2 linked regions of the Struthio camelus genome follow. The protein of the gene in region 2 interacts with the protein of the main gene of each other region in a biochemical or structural test. Links are inferred from orthologs where the notes say so. Each region holds a gene or a part of one and is shown on either strand. Other genes may lie near its edges.

The links.
Region 1: the proteins of NPM1 (region 2) and HMGA1 interact in far-western blotting, tested with the Homo sapiens proteins (2 studies listed by BioGRID). The link is inferred for Struthio camelus from reciprocal best matches to the Homo sapiens genes NPM1 and HMGA1.

Annotation. Positions count from the first base shown.
Region 1 is NC_090965.1:5,620,652-5,628,279, reverse strand, and holds the start of HMGA1 (high mobility group protein HMG-I/HMG-Y), read left to right. Parts: upstream 1-4,212; 5' UTR 4,213-4,299; exon of another isoform or gene 4,300-4,526; 5' UTR 4,527-4,677; intron 4,678-7,628. UniProt on the Homo sapiens protein: HMG-I/Y bind preferentially to the minor groove of A+T rich regions in double-stranded DNA. It is suggested that these proteins could function in nucleosome phasing and in the 3'-end processing of mRNA transcripts.
Region 2 is NC_090954.1:20,056,450-20,064,100, reverse strand, and holds the start of NPM1 (nucleophosmin), read right to left. Parts: upstream 3,398-7,651; 5' UTR 3,239-3,397; coding exon 3,175-3,238; intron 2,238-3,174; coding exon 2,158-2,237; intron 1-2,157. UniProt on the Homo sapiens protein: Involved in diverse cellular processes such as ribosome biogenesis, centrosome duplication, protein chaperoning, histone assembly, cell proliferation, and regulation of tumor suppressors p53/TP53 and ARF.

The DNA.
Region 1 (7,628 bases), on a different chromosome or scaffold from region 2:
AGGCCGGCCGCGGCACTTCCACCATCGTCCCCAGCCGCTGCTGAAGGTCCCCACGGGAGTCAGAGCTGCTTTGCAGCCCCGCTGGATCGTGCCGGGCTCCCACAGCGCCGGAGCAGCCGACTTCCTGCCGCCCTGGCCGAGCCGGCTGCGAGCCAAACCTTCGGGGGGGTATCGCCCTCTGCTAGGGTTGCATATATATAATACGTGCATGCATATGGGGTTGTAGTCCACATATATAGAAGGGCAGCTCTGAGCCAGCAGGCGGGAGCAGTCGGTGCCCCCCTCCAAGTCCTCGGTCCTGGAGGCAGGGGATGAAAAGCAGTCGCTGTGATTTAAAGAGGAGGGGGGAAACAAAGCCGGCTTCTGCATCGGTGGGGAAACGAAGCCTCAGCCCCGACGCTCAGCGACCGGAAAGCCACCAGGGCCCCGCCACGGCCCCGTGCCCGGGGGCTCCCACCTCCTGACACTCTGCAAACCAAAGGCAGCGCCGACGGCGGTGCCCAGCCCCGCAAGACGGGTGACAGAGGCTCGTGCCCCAGGGGCGCTCAGCACCCAAGCAGCCTCGGCCGGCTCTCCGGCGCTGCCCCAGCACCGGGGTGCCCTTTGTGCCTGGAAAGAAGTGGCCAGATCTGCCCGGACCGAGCCAAGCATGTCAGGTGCTGCCTTGTTTTGAAAGCTCTGCCGGGAAGTCACCCATGGGACGGGACGGGACGGCCGTGGCATCACGGGGCTGGCGCCGGCCGCCTCTCCGCCCCGCTTGCCTCGGCTAGCACTGCGTTTCGCGCCCCGCTGGCGGCAGCCGGACCCGGGGGGCCGGCGCTCACCTCGGGCCCGGCCCCCAGCCGCGCCGCCGGGACGGACCACCGATGGGCGCCTGCCTCTTTGCAGCCCCTTTGGCGGGCCGACGCGGCTGCCAGCGCTTGCAAGCGGCTCCGCGGGGGGAGGCCCAGCGCCACGGCTCGCAGAGGCCCCAAGCGCGCCCGCTGCCCGGCCCCATCGCCTCCCAGCCAGCTCTAGGGAGAGAGAAATAGAGAGAGAGGGGTGGGGGGCACATGCCCCTGCCCGCTGCGCCGCCCGCATCGGGCGCTAGGGATGCGATGGGTGCAGCAGCGGGCTCTGCTTAAAAACAAGCAGCCCTCCACCGCTCTCGGCCCCCGTCTTTCCGCGAGGGCACCGCGGCCACGCACACTTCATCCCGCGCCAAGCGGCGGGCATCGCCCTGCAGACGCCTCTCCGCGGACGAAACGTCTCACCGCGGTGTCACACCGAGCAATTGCCCTTGCGCAAAGTCCCCGGGTCACTGCAGCAACCAGAATTACCTCCCGCTGCCCCCCAGCCTGCAAACGTGTGCTCCGAGCACCGACGTCACCCCCCCCCCGCCAAAATTCCCCATTTCTGGCCCAGTTTCCCCTCTCCAGGCCGGACAAAGCGCCTTCTGCACGCCGACGGCCTCAGCGGTGGGAGTCGAGCGGCGCCCGCCGGGGCGCGAAGCGACGGCCGCGTCTGTCCATCCGTCTGTCCGTCCCCCCCGGCGCCCCTCTCCGGTTACAGCCGTTTGCCGCCACCGCGGAATAAACAACGAGGGATATTAATAACGACAGCCCTTCGCCCAGGGGCGGAAATCAAATTCCTCGCCAGCTTGGCGGCGACGTCGGGGCTGCCGAGGGCGGGAGGCGCCGGGTCGGGCTTCGCCCTGGACCCCCGCGAGCTGCTGCGCGAGGCCGGAGGGTCGACACTGATTTGAGCTGGAAAAAAAACCCACAGGGCCTGGGGGCAAGGTCTCGGAGAGACGCCTCGGGGTCTCTCCTCGCCTCGGCGCCAGCAGACCCCCCGCGGGCGCCCGTCCCTGCCCCGAAGCCTTTCCCGGGCGCTGCCGGGCTCCGCTGCTCGGACCGCCGGCTTTTAGCCCGGCTGCCTTAAAGAAAAGCAAAAAAAACCCACCCCAATAACAACAACCATAAAAAAAAAGGGGGCAGTTTGTGCACGTGCGTCCGCCTGCCGGGGCCCTGCCGACCGCCTCGGAGCACGTTGGCCGATTTGCCACCGAACCCGCAGGGTCTCGGAGCACCACGAACCGCGAGAAGGGAAGGCACCGGGGCAGGGGGCCGCGGCCGGAGGTTTCTTTTTCGAAACGATCAGAAAGGCACACGGCTTTTATTGCATTTCACTTAGGAACAGTCAAGGCAGTTTGCAAAGGATTTTTAAAATCCCAGGAGCAACTAGCAAAGAGTACCAGAAGCCTTGCTGGTTTTGATTTTTTTTTTAATTTGCCTGTCACAAACCTTCCCCGCTGAAGAGCTTTTGCGCATGCTGCTACCTCTCCTTTTGTGCTTTACATTTTTAACTTTTTTTTTTTTAAATAAAAGCCTGAAACTTAAGTTCAATTTTCTCTAGTCTAAAGCTCAGCTCCTAACTCCAGATTTAGATCCTTTGTTGTGGGATTGTCAAAAGCGTATAAGCCAGAGTTTCTATTCAATTTGTGACTGGGATTTTTCATAGCAGTTGGGGGAACGTGGTGCAGTCCTGCAACTGAGACAATGCCGAGCCCTGGACTTCCTTAAAACAAAACAAACAAACCAACCACCATGAGATCCCAAATTATGTATATTCCTTGGAAAAAAAATGTTCCAATGCAAAAAGGGGACTAATTTCTGGAGTATTTGCCTACCGAGAGAGCTGATCTTGGCTCCTATTCCAAATTGACCCAATTCATTTCCAAAAGGGATCCAACGAATTGGGAATCAGGCCCTTTCACTCGGCAATAAGCGTGTGCACTCCAAGGAGCTGCATGAAACTCAGCTCCTCTCAGAGCTGCAGTCCCAGCCCGGCGCTGGGACCAGCCCACCGCACGCTTAAACCCCAGGAGAGCCTTGCTTTAGCAGCTCCAAATATCCCACCCCGCACCAGTCCATGCGGGGACTCACTTTTCCACACTGGGACTCACTTTTCCACATCAGCTTATTCCTGCAGCTTTGCAGAAAATCTGCGGCTTTGCAGAAAATGCCTCAAAACCCCTTCCAAATCCGGTCAGCCTCGGGGGCCCTAAAGATGCAGAAGCTGCCTCAGTGTCCAGGGGAAAACAGGCTGCCGGGGGCATCGCTAACCTCACCGGGGCCAGCAAAAGGAGATGCCGCGCACGCTCGCCTGCTTGGCGGTGGCGCAGGCCGCGCTGCGCTGGGCCGGCACCGCCGTTGCCTTGCCTTGGCCAGTGCTTTCGCCCATAGGGAGCCAAACATAAGGCTGGTTCTGCCACGCTGAGCAAGCCCACCCCAAGTGAGTCCACCCCGAGCACGCCCATGCTGAGCGAGCCCACCGGCTGCTGTTCACATCAAGTGAGTCCTCGGGGTGCTGCACAGACCAAGCGAACCTGCCCTGAGCAAGCCCACTGCGCGCTGCTCACCCCGAACGAGCCCGTGCTGAGCGAGCCCACTCCAGGTGAGCCCACCAAGCGCTGCTCATGGCAAGCGAGGCCACCCCAAGCGAACCTCCTGGGCGCTGCTCGTGCTGAGCGAGACAACCCCAAGGGAGCCCACCACGTGCTGCTCACAACAAGTGAGCCCACCCTGAGCGAGCCCACTGGCTACTGCACAGACCAAGCGAGCCCACCCTGAGCGAGCCCACCGCGTGCTGCTCACAGCAGGCAAGGCCACCTCAAGCGAGCCTCCTGGGTGCTGCTCCTGCCGAGCGAGCCCACCCCAAGGAAGCCCACCCAGTGCTGCTCAAATCAAGTGAGCCCACCTTGAGCAAGCCCACCCCGAGCGAGCCCACCCCGAGCGAGCCCACTGGGCACTGCTCATACCGGGTGAGCCCACCCTGAGGGAGCCCACCAAGTGCTGCTCACATCAGGCAAGCCCACCAGGCACTGCTCATGCCATGTGAGCCCACCAGGCGCTATTCACACCAAGCAAGCCCACCCCAAGGGAGCCCACCAAGTGCTGCCCACCCCGAGGGAGCCCACCAGCTGCTGCTCACATCAGGCGAGCCCACCCCGAGCAAGCCCACCGGGCGCTGCCCACATCATGTGAGCCCACCAAGCGCTGCCCACATCAGGCGAGCCCACCCGGAGGGAGCTCACCGGGCGCTGCCCGCCCACCGGCCAAGGCCCCCCCCGGCCCCCCCGCAGCCCTTTGAACCGACCTATCGCTCCCGGCCTCGGCGCCGCCCGCACCTCCCCCGGCCGTGATGCAGCCCGGCTCCTCCTCTCCCCTCTCCGCAAGGGCTGGAAGCTCCCCTTAGCCTGTTTGCCCTTATTTAATTTCGAGTGTGATTTTGCTATTTTTAGCAGCTGGATCCCCTCCAGTAAGGCTTGGAGCTCGCTCTTTTTTTTTTTTTTAATCCCCCCCCCTCTCTCCCTTCCTTTTTTTTTTTTTTTTTTTTCTCTCCGCTCCCTGCAAATGATTTTGACCCAGCTTCCTTCCTCCTGGAGCAATTTTTTTTTTTTATTATTTATATAAATAAGAGGGGGCCTGGCTGGGCTGTGGATGCGTGTGCGAGTCGCTGCCTCCCTCTCTGCCTTCTCCTTTCAGATCCGCATTTGCAACCAGCAGCAGCCAGGAGGGGGGTTGTTTTAATTCGCTCACAACACAGACACGCCAGGAGAAAAAAAAAAACAAAAAAAATCAAAAAAATCAAAAAAAAAAACCACCCCAAGCACCCAGCTCCGAGACCAAGCTGACTGTGAGTGCCGGCCTTCTCCTTTCCTTTCTCCTCCGGGGGGTGCGCAGGGAGGGCCGGGGCCGCCGGGGGGAGAGGGGGGGCTGGTTTGGGGAAGGGGCTCCCGGCACCCTCGGCATGCGGGGCGCAGTTGCCCCCGATCTTCTCTCCCTTTGCAAGGTCGCGTGTGCGTGCGTGCGGCGGGCCGGCTCGGCAATGCCCCTTCCCCCCCCCCCCCCGCTTCGTAATAATAATAATTATTGCTAAGGGCCGTGCACCTGATGGGCCCGGGGCGCCGCGCTGCCGCAGCCGCGCTGCCGGCTGCCAGCGGCGCCGCCGGACTTTTCCGCCACTTACTCGTTTTCGGGCGATGCGGCGCCGCGCTGGGGCTGCCCGCAAGCGCCCCGGCCCCGCGTGGGGGGCGGCCGCGGGCCGGGCTCGCGGCGGGCGTGGGGCCGGGAACCGTGCGTGGCGCCGCGTCCGGGGCCCGTGCAAGGTGCGTGGGGCCGGGAGCCGTGCATAGGGGCCAGGGCCTGTGCAAGGTGCGCGGGGCCGGGAATCCGTGCGTGGGGCCAGGCCCGGGGCCCGTGCAAAGTGCGTGGCGCCGGGAACCGTGCATGGGGCCACGGCCTGTGCAAGGTGCGTGGGGCCGGGGTAGGGGCGAGAGGCTGGGGTAGGGGGTGTGGAGCCAGGCCCGGGGCCCGTGCAAGGTGCGTGGGGGTCAGGGTAGGGTGGGTGGGGCCAGGTCCGGGCCCCGTGCAAGGTGCGTGGGGCCTGGATAGGGGGTGTGGGGCCAGGCCCGGGGCCCGTGCAAGGTGCGTGGGGATCAGGGTAGGGGATGTGGGGCCAGGCCCGGGGCCCGTGCAAGGTGCGTGGGGATCAGGGTAGGGGATGTGGGGCCAGGCCCGGGGCCCGTGCAAGGTGCGTGGGGGTCAGGGTAGGGTGCGTGGGGCCAGGTCCAGGCCCCGTGCAAGGTGTGTGGGGCCGGAGTAGGGTGCACGGGGCCCGGCCCCACGCGAGGTGCAAGGTGCGTGGGACTGGACCCACGCAGGGTGCTGGCCCGGTGGCAGCGCCGCAGGCCGGGCCCGGCTCGGGCAGGGACGCCCTTGGCTGGGGGGAGGAGGGGGGCAGCTCGGCCCCCCCGCACGCCGGGCCCGGCTGCGTGTGCAGCACCGAGCACGCCAACCTGCAACCCCCAACCGGGGAAGGCACCCCGGGGCGGGGGGGGGAAGGCACCACCAAAGGTTTTATTATACCCCGCAGGACCGGCTCTTCACAAAGCTTGGGATGTTGCCCTTCCTGCCTCTTTTCTTTCTGTCCCCCCTTCCCCACCTCCCTCCTTCCTTTCTTTTATCACTTCCTTTTATTATGCATGCCCAGGAAGGAAGGGGGGGGGGAGGTGCGCTCTCCTTAATAGCAGGGCCTGGGGGGGAGCGGGGGGGGGGGGGGTCTTCAAAGCAGCCCTGCCGAGGGCCTGTCCTAACGAGGGGCCGAGCACATCCCTCCCCTGCCCAACAGGCTCTTCAACTTCTTCCCGTCTCTTCCCTGGCCCGGCTCCTCGCCCCGCCGGGAGGTGCGGCCCGCATCCTCGGCCAGCTGCACGCAGGCTGGCTTTCCTGGGCGCGAAGAGGCTTTTTGAGATCTAAAGCCACCGCCTGTCTCCCTTGTTCTCCTGGGCTGGTTTGTTTAATCTAAGAGTAGGTGGCGGGAGCAGGGATTTATGGGGCTATTTGCACGCAGCGGCGTAAGGCAGCGCGGGCGGCTGGGGGAAGGACGCGGCAGGCCGGGGGCAGCCGGCAGCCTCGCTCCCAGGGGCCAGGTTGCCTCTTTTGCAACCTAATGGCATCTCGCCTAAGAGGTGGTTCCCGGCTGCTGAGAACGCCCAAGCTCGTGTCTGGGAGCAGGGAGAGACGGTGGGACTGGTGGAGGGGGGAGAAGTATTGCACGGAGGATAATTATCTGCAGGGATGGAGGGGGAAGGAGTTTTGCATCCTCCAACTCCATCGATCCGAAGGAAGATGGAGCCCCTCCACCTCCAAACCTGGCTGTGCAAGGATTTCTCCCTCCTCGCCCCTGGGCCTCGCCGCCCGTGCCCTCATCTCCCATCCTGCCCGAGCCGCCCATCCCCTGCCCTCGCCTCCTATGGATCCGTCCCCCTGGGGAAGGGTTTTCTCTCTCCAGCTACTTCCTCTCCTCCATGGCAACCCAGCTGCTCCCGCAGATACGGGTTTCACGGGCGCGAGCGCGGCCGGAGCTCCTTCCTGCGGCGCGCCGAGCATCGCGCCGGAGCTCGGACCGCTGCCACCCGCCAGGGCAGGATGCGCTCCCGGCAGACGGCTGCTGCCGGGGCCAGGAGCGTCTGCCTGCTCAGCACCATCCCCATCTCCCGCCTGGCTGCAGCACCACCCTATGTCACCCTGCGAGGGCAGGGTGGGAGCTGTCAGTCCTTCCGGGTGCTTTTAAGCCCCGGGGTCCCTCGGGAGACCTCGGCCCGGCCACGCGGTTTTGCAGCAAGGTGGCGGAGGGGACCGGCCCGACACATGTGCTGTTTCCCACGGCACCGGCAGCTTCGCCGTGCGCCGCTGGTGCCTCGAGCTCTCGGCGTGGGGGACGCCCCCGCTCCGGGCATCTCCCGGTCGGGGCCGCGGCGCTGTGCCATGCTGACGCCGGCGGCTCGGGAGCGGGACGGGAGCCCCGACTTCATGCTGTAGCGGGGCCGGGGCAGAGGAGCGAGCGCCGTGAGAGAGACATTGGGCCCATCTGTTTGCAGCTACGGGAGAGGGTGCAGCGCGGCGCTGAGCACGCGTTTCCTTGGCCGGAGATTGACGTAGCACCAGATTGACACCCCTCAGCTCCTGGTCAGCCAGCCTCCGTTTTTCCTTTTCTAAACCTAAACCATATATATGTATACATATATATATGTATGCATTTTTTTTCATGTGCTCTGTAGAGAGAGACTCCTTGAAGGGCTCTGG
Region 2 (7,651 bases):
GTGATCCGGACAAGGCACATTCAACTGCATACTGGGAAAGAGATGGGATTCCCTACTCTTGGCAAGTTTTGTCACCGTGAATTGAAAGAGTAAGAGGTGAAATTGCTACTCTCCTCTCTCAAACGGGTCAGCAACCATACGCTGCACCACTTCGACTTCTTGTCCTGGTGGGTAGTCCCAGGAGCTAAGAACACTTGCCCAAACTGCCTCTGCCCCCTCCATTACTCCTATCACTTGCACAAGATCTCGAGCAATATGTACTATTCATTTATTTAGCAATGACCAATGCAGCATGTCTAGCAAGTATCCATTCACGTGCTTGAACTTTTATAACAGCGAACACCATGCTAGCAATAAAGAGGTAATAGAGTGGATGGTCACCATTTCATGTTCACAGCTGTCATTAAGACCAGGCATTTAAGAAAACCATCACATGCCACTTTCTACCTCCACATACATCAATCCTCCTCCTCTTTCACTTTTATCCTTTTTTCTATCTCATACCAAGCCCCCTGCCACACTTGCGTAACTGACAGGTATGCATCTTTATTCATCTAGTTTTATCAAGTTCATAGAGCACAGTCACCAAGTATTCACTAGCTTCATACCTGAGCTTCCAAAAACTCCTTGCTCTGCTTACCATGTCAATTTTTCTTTGTTTCTAGCTATGTCCAATCCTTTCAGAAATTCCCAGTTTGTCACATGTTATTTCAACTTTCTTGTCTCTCCGACAGGTTACCTCCCTTTGACTTTAAAAGGCAGTTTTCTGAATTAGACCTTTTCTCTCACAACCTCAAAAACTAAGTACTGATGCTGTAAGTCCATCAATTTGCCTCATCCTCCATGAAGAGGTCACAGCAACCGGAAGAGACGGTAATTTTCAAAACTAGGAACTTTGGATAAGCCCACACAACTGAGGTTATCATTCAGTGGCTCATTTCATGTGTGCTACAAACAGGCAGGCATGAGAACAATCCACATCGACTTGCCCTACCCATACTTTACAGTATTCTTCCCTCAAGAGAGATTCTAAAAGGCCATTAAGTACAAAGTGGTCACCGTCAAGTCCAGATTGTGTTTTTCATAAACTGCAAGGACTCTATAAACATAGTTCACACAATACTACAATATTCAAATTAACATCATAAGTGTTATGTATTACTTTGAATGAGTTTTAACTCAGGCAGCCATTGTTATCCTGGACTCCTGTAGGAAGCACTCTAGAATCCTAAAATTCACTTATTTAGAAGTGTCATCAAGACATCTCTCTACATTAAATGCGACTGCAATGTAATGTGATTAAATACACATGCTATTAAATGCTGGACTAAAGTACACAGATGTGACAACGTTTAAATCCCTTCCCTGTGAAGTTGTGTCACGTTTGTGCTAACCAAAACAGAAGTCGCATGCTTAGCCCAGAGTAGAGAAGTGCAGTGTCCTTCTTGCTGGGACAGCAGAAAGAACTAAGGACATATTTAAGAACTCTCAATATGCACACCTTGATTTCAAGGAGTATCCTGTTCAGTGAGCAGCTGCTCTGTCTGATTAAATGTATGAATCAAAGACAGTGTTTCCCATAACATCCTTAAAAAGAGGACAACACTACCAAAAAACGTATCAGAACATAAAAGCCTTTTCCCCTCCAAATTAGATGCAACATTAGCTGCTGATTGGGGGAAAAAGGCACTGGTATTATAATGCTTGGGGAACACAAAGAAAAAGTTTTCAAAGTAAAGTTTCCCCAGTCCGCACCCATCTGTGAAAAATATAAATCCAATCCCTGCTTTTGCTCCTGCAGCATCTAAACCGTTGCACCAGAGATACCAGAAGACATAGGCCTGCCCTCATCCCTTTTAGCAAATTTACTGACCTATTGTGAACTCATTTTTTTTAAAGAACTTTTTTTTTAAAACCTGGTGTCACTTGCTATAAGCCATGAAACAACAATAGAGAATTTTCAAGGTAAAACGGGATGTTCAGTTCCTAATAAGAGGTTATCTAGCAAACTGACTCAAAACACTTGCAAATGCCAGACAGAACAGATGTTTAAGGAACAAATTTACATGTTACAAAAGCTCACTTTTCATAACGTAGCATATTATTACTCAAAAAACAAAATTCAAGCTTGCACCTTAAAAAGTAGATAATACTTGCCGTTCTCAAAGATAACTGATGCTCATTTTCTTCATCATCTACCTTGAACTGATACTCCTTGTCTGCTTTAAGCTCACAGCCTGTAAAAAAAAAAAATCATTAAGTTGCAAGCAAACTATTGTTTTCAGGAACAGGTACTTGCTAGCCACTTGTTACTTAGAAGTGTAATGCTTTCTGCTTTATGGTGCTGCATTTGCATAGAAAACCAACCCCACTGCATGCGTGCAAAGAAACTCAAGAGAAACGCGTAGGGAGGGGAAAACCCCAGGCGAGTCCCGGCCCATGGCCTACCACGCAGCTCCTACCCGCAGCGTCAGCCATTACACTTCGTCCAAGACCAGCCGCTACAAAACCAGCGGCTTCCAGCGCCGCTGCGCACTGCCCGCGCTGCCGCCGGCCATGTGCCACCCCCGGCGAGGCGAGGCGTGGGGCGGGCGGGTCGGCCGGCTTCCCCTCGGGCCGGCAGCGGGCAAGGCGGCCCGCCGCCCTCCACGTGCTCCACCTCCCGCCGCGCCGCCATGTGCTCGGGCCGCCCGCCGGCTCCGCGCCGCCCGCAACGCAACGTGCCCGCGTCCCGAAAGGGACGAGCGGCCGGGCGAGCGGCGACCGGGCCGGGCGGCGGGGGCGCGGGCCAACAAAAGCCAGCCCCCGCCAGGCCGCCGCCGCCACGTGCCAGCGGCCCGCCACGTGGGGCGCGCGCGCCGGCCGAACGCGCGGCTAACGGACGCCGGCGCGCGGCTAACGGACGCGCGGCCAACGGACGCCGGCGCGCGGCCCACCGAGGCCGGCGCCCCCCCCACGGTGTTTCCCCCCCCCCCCCGCGGCGACCGCCGAGGGCCGCAGCAGGCCCGCGGCTCCCATCGGGCCTCGCCGCCGCTGCCAGCCCGCCCCCCCTCCCCCCGCCGCCGCCGCCCACCCGGCCCAGGCGGGGAGCGGAGGCCTAAGGGAGCGGATGGCGGCCGTCAGGGGCCGGGGCCGGGCGAGGAGGGGAGAGCGGGGCGCCGCGGGGGCCGTTACCGAAGAGAAAGGTCTGCGGGCGCAGGGGGCCCATGCTCTCCATGTCCATGGCGCTGTCCTCCATCTTCTCGGGCCTGCTCGGGCGGGAGGCGCGGGGGCGGGATGCGGTGCTGCGGGCGGACGCGCACTAAAGGAAGCCGCGCGCCCGCCCACTCCCAGATATAGCCCGCGCGCTCTCGCGAGAGCGCCGCGCCGCGCCCCGCCCCTCCCCGCCGCCGCCGCCGCCCCACTGCGCAGGCGCCGCGCGGCGTTGGGGGGAGGGGGGGGCGGGCGCCCGCGCGCGCGGCCGGCGGGCGGGCTGGGCGGGGGGCTGCGGCGGTCACAAAATGGTGGCGGGGCCGAGGCGGCCGGCGGGTGAGGCGTTGGCCTGCGAACGAAACCTGCCGTCGCCAACGAGGCAGCCGCGCGGTGGCTCGCGTAGCTCCCTGCCGGCCTTCGTACCCGCGTAGGCGGGGGCTGCCGCGCGCCGGCCGCGCAGCCGGGGCCAGGCGGCGGCGGCAGTGTGCGGGGAGCTCCGCCGGGGCCGGCATTTGATGGGATAAAAGCATATAGCCTCACATCGCCCGGGTGTCTGCAGTGACTGAAACGTGTAATACATAACAGCAGTATTCATAAAGGCAGAAAACGAAACAACGAAGAATCGACATGGTTATTTTACAGCGGCGCTTACATGCCAAAATGTGGCGTTCACCTTCTTCCTTAGCCTCCCGCAAAGCTCGCCCCCTCTTTGAAAAACGGTATATATCTACAGCACGTACGCAGTCAGCTTATTTTGGGATGCAAGGTCTCATATTCTGGTGCAGAATACAATTTGTTTTCCAAATGTGAGGTTACTTAAGCCACAGGCTTCCCAGGATAAAGGCCCCGACAGTCACGTTAACATTAAAACTGCTTGGGGAAACTAAGGTTTTGTCAGGTGGATTGCCACAGGATAACTAAAATAACAGTAAGAATGAAATCAGCTTCTGTGTGGAAAAAAAAAAAAGGTACAAGCGTAGATAGTCGTGCTTTTTACCCTGTGACTGAGGATGGGAGATTTGGGCCCTGGGAGGTCACTGTGAGCACCCTCTTCTAGAATCAGAATGGTTTAGTTGGGAAGAGACCTCTGGCATCATCTGGTCCAACACCCTGCTCAACGCAGCACCCCCAAGTCACGTTAAGGGAGGGCTAGTTTGCTACGGTGCAGTAACTAACAAATGCTAGCTACAGCTGATTTGGAAATGCTGATACAAGTAAAAATTATGGGGTTTTTTTTCTGTTTCTCTTCTCAATTTCCTACCAGCTCTTACTCTTTATTTAAATACATGGTGGCACAGTTGTAGGATGTGACAATTAAGGGCTTTTAAGCAAAACCAGAGAAACTAACAGTCATTTTTATTTCTCTTTCTTCTTTTGCATCCTACAGTAGAAACATTGGTTAATTTGCAAACTGTGCATCATATATAGACAGAGAAATAACACACTGGTGGATGTCAAGTCAAAACAAAGTTTTGCCCTGTTTTGAGCCTGGTTTCAGCTCCTACGAAAGCTCTGTGAGCATTCCTGAGTTGCATAACAGGTTTATTGTTCCAGTGGAACATGTATGTGGATATTGTGGGTATGGGACCAGAATCATCTCTCCAGACACTAAGTTCGTGTCAGAAAAAAAAGAACTGTATCAGGGCAAAGACTTTAAGCCAGATGCATCTGTTAATGGGGAACTCATGCTGGGAACAGGGAAGAGGTGACAGGAGCATGGACACTTCTATAACAGGTGTGGGGCACTGCATTTTGCTTCGGCCCATATTCTGCGTTCCTCTTGATGTATTCTTTTTCACAAGTAGTTTTTCCTTCCCTGCTGCATCTTTGTTTCCTAAGAGTTCACTGGCCCACGCAGCTCATTGTACCCTACAGTCGCGTTTGCCACGTGCAACAGTGTTCGCCTCTGAATGTGCCACGGGACACACCATGAACGCTCCTGAGGCAACTGCAGGTAACAGTTAAGAGAACGTAAGTGCGCCCGATCAACATATCTCATTACACGGACATGGAAATGCAGAATTATCTAACATATCACTGATCTGGTACAAGTAAGACTTAATTAGTTAAGTTTGGTACAAGTAAGACTTAATTAGTTAGGTTTGCATCTGTTTTCTATTACAATGCCAAATTTAAGAGCTTGAGAGACATTTTTAACATCAGGAGGGAAAGGATGAAGACAAGTGTTTGAAAACATAAACACCAGGGAGATGCTTTGCTCTGTATGAATGTAAGATAAGGGCAGTCCACAGTTGTGTCTAATCTTATAATTTTGTTTAAGCGTTCATTAGGAGATAGATGGTGAATGAAAACAGGGAAGGTTCTCCACGAGGAGGCACAGTTTCTTTAAATTGGTAACAAAGCCAAAGAAAAGGTGTTGAAGGAGCATAAATCCTCAGGGAGGTGGAGAAAGATTTCAAGGACAATACAGTCTTTTCCCTGTCATTTCTAAGTTCGTGGCTTGGTATTAGAAGGAAGTAGCCTTCTTCGTGGCCTCTGCTACCATGGCACAGCAGACTGAAGAACTGCCACGCCGAAGATGCAGTGTTGCCACTCTTGAGTTTTTACTAGGAGTAATAATTTTGGGCGTAAAGCTCCCATTATCAGCATCCTGAGATTAAAGCCAGGAGGTGAATTCCAAACAGAGAGACAGCCCTCACGACGGTACGGAAAAACTCTAATCTTAAAAAGGGCCCAAGTATCAAAAGATAAACAGAACAAGCTGTCTGTGGACAGAAGAACTGATGCAGGTTGCTTTCCTAGGGACTTGTGTTTCCCAGCTGGTGTCTGATAAGGTGGCATCTCCCCCAGAAACTTCCTGATTAGGGCACTTCAAACCACTCTGTACTGTGTGGTTTCTCTAGTGTCTAGAGATGAACTCACTTTTTTCTGCAGGTCCAAAAAAAGACCGTTTCCCTCACCTGTGCTCAGCCAGCCGTTTGTATGGAACTTGCAGGAATCTGAGACCTCTGGCATTCAGCTGAACGTGGCTCAAACAGCACACCCGAGTCAGTTTTCGGGATAAGAACAGAGCGATCACAAAAGCATCACGGACAATCCTTCCAATTTACTCCTCTTAAAATCTCCTTAGGAAACGAGAGAGGGAACAGTGCTTATTTCATTTTCTGACCTTTAGTTTGGTTCATTTCTTATTATCTTTTAGAAGCAATTAATTCTAAGGGTGGACTTTAACGTAGGAAGAGTGGCAGTTTGGCAGTCCCGGATAGGGAAGGTGCAGGCATCTGCGAAGCAGCAGAGGCAGAAAAGCTCATCGAGTGTGGCAGCTGGTATCACTGGCAGAGCACAGGCATCACTATTTGATCAGCTGTTTCAGCCAAGAGGAGCTGTACTGACACAGATAAGACGTTTGTTTGATTTGGCTTGAAAATCGGAACCGGTATCAAAATTTAAAACGTAGTTTTGGCCCGATCTCAATGGCAAACAGACTGGAGTGGACGGGTGAATAACGCACAGCGACAGCAAAAGAGGCTGCAGCCGTTTGCACGTGCGCTTACCTGATGTAGTGCCAACGGCGGTACCCGACTGCTTGTGCAAACCAGCTGGAAACCTGCTGGGCGCAGCACTCGGCAGCTCGCAGGGCAGCCCGCGCTCGCAGGCCTCCACCCCGTCCTGTCGAAGGCGAACGGCGCAGCCACGGCAGCCCTTGCGCGGACAGAGTCGCTTTTAATTCAATTACAGTTTTCCATTACCAAGGAAATAAATGTGGGAGGAAACAAAGAACAGACACAGAGAGGCAAAACAAGGGTAGGAAGTGGAAGATAGATGCTTTCTGCGTCCCGTTTGGCTCCATAGGGCTTTACAAGGATTGTCATATATCATGACATTTATTATTTCTGTCATGTACTACGACGAGAAGTCCATTACAATATCGATCATTTCACTCTGCTTGAGTCTGCACTATGTGATACTCAGCGTAGCTGAAAAGTGATTTAGAAATAGCTGTACAGGGAGGACTGAGGCAGAAATCGGAGTCAACGTAGTTACCCTTAATAAAATCCTCTTTTTAGTAACCTTTTAGGAAATGGCATTGTAAACCGTGTTACAGCCACAGGACAGTTGCACAGCCAAGCAGTCAGAAGTTACAGGCAGAATTAAGATTTCTTATGCAGCCTTAACTGACACCCTGACATAACGATACAACCTTCAGCTATATTGCCACATACTCCCTTCACAGGATGCTTCCTCCTTTCAGTAGCTAGTAATTTCTGCCCCTGGAAAACTCAGGGCCAAATTTCTAAAAGGCATCAAAGCCCTTGCCCTTCCTTGAAATCAAGAAGCAGAATGCACTTTGAAACTTGAAAATCCAAATCTTTCAACTTAACCTGAAACAACTACCGGCTAGTTATAATAATCAGGTTGGGGCAAAAAGGGGTTGCACAAGGAAAGCCCAAGATAGTTATCGTTAGTATGACAGTATTTTTAGTTTGCTTTAAATGAT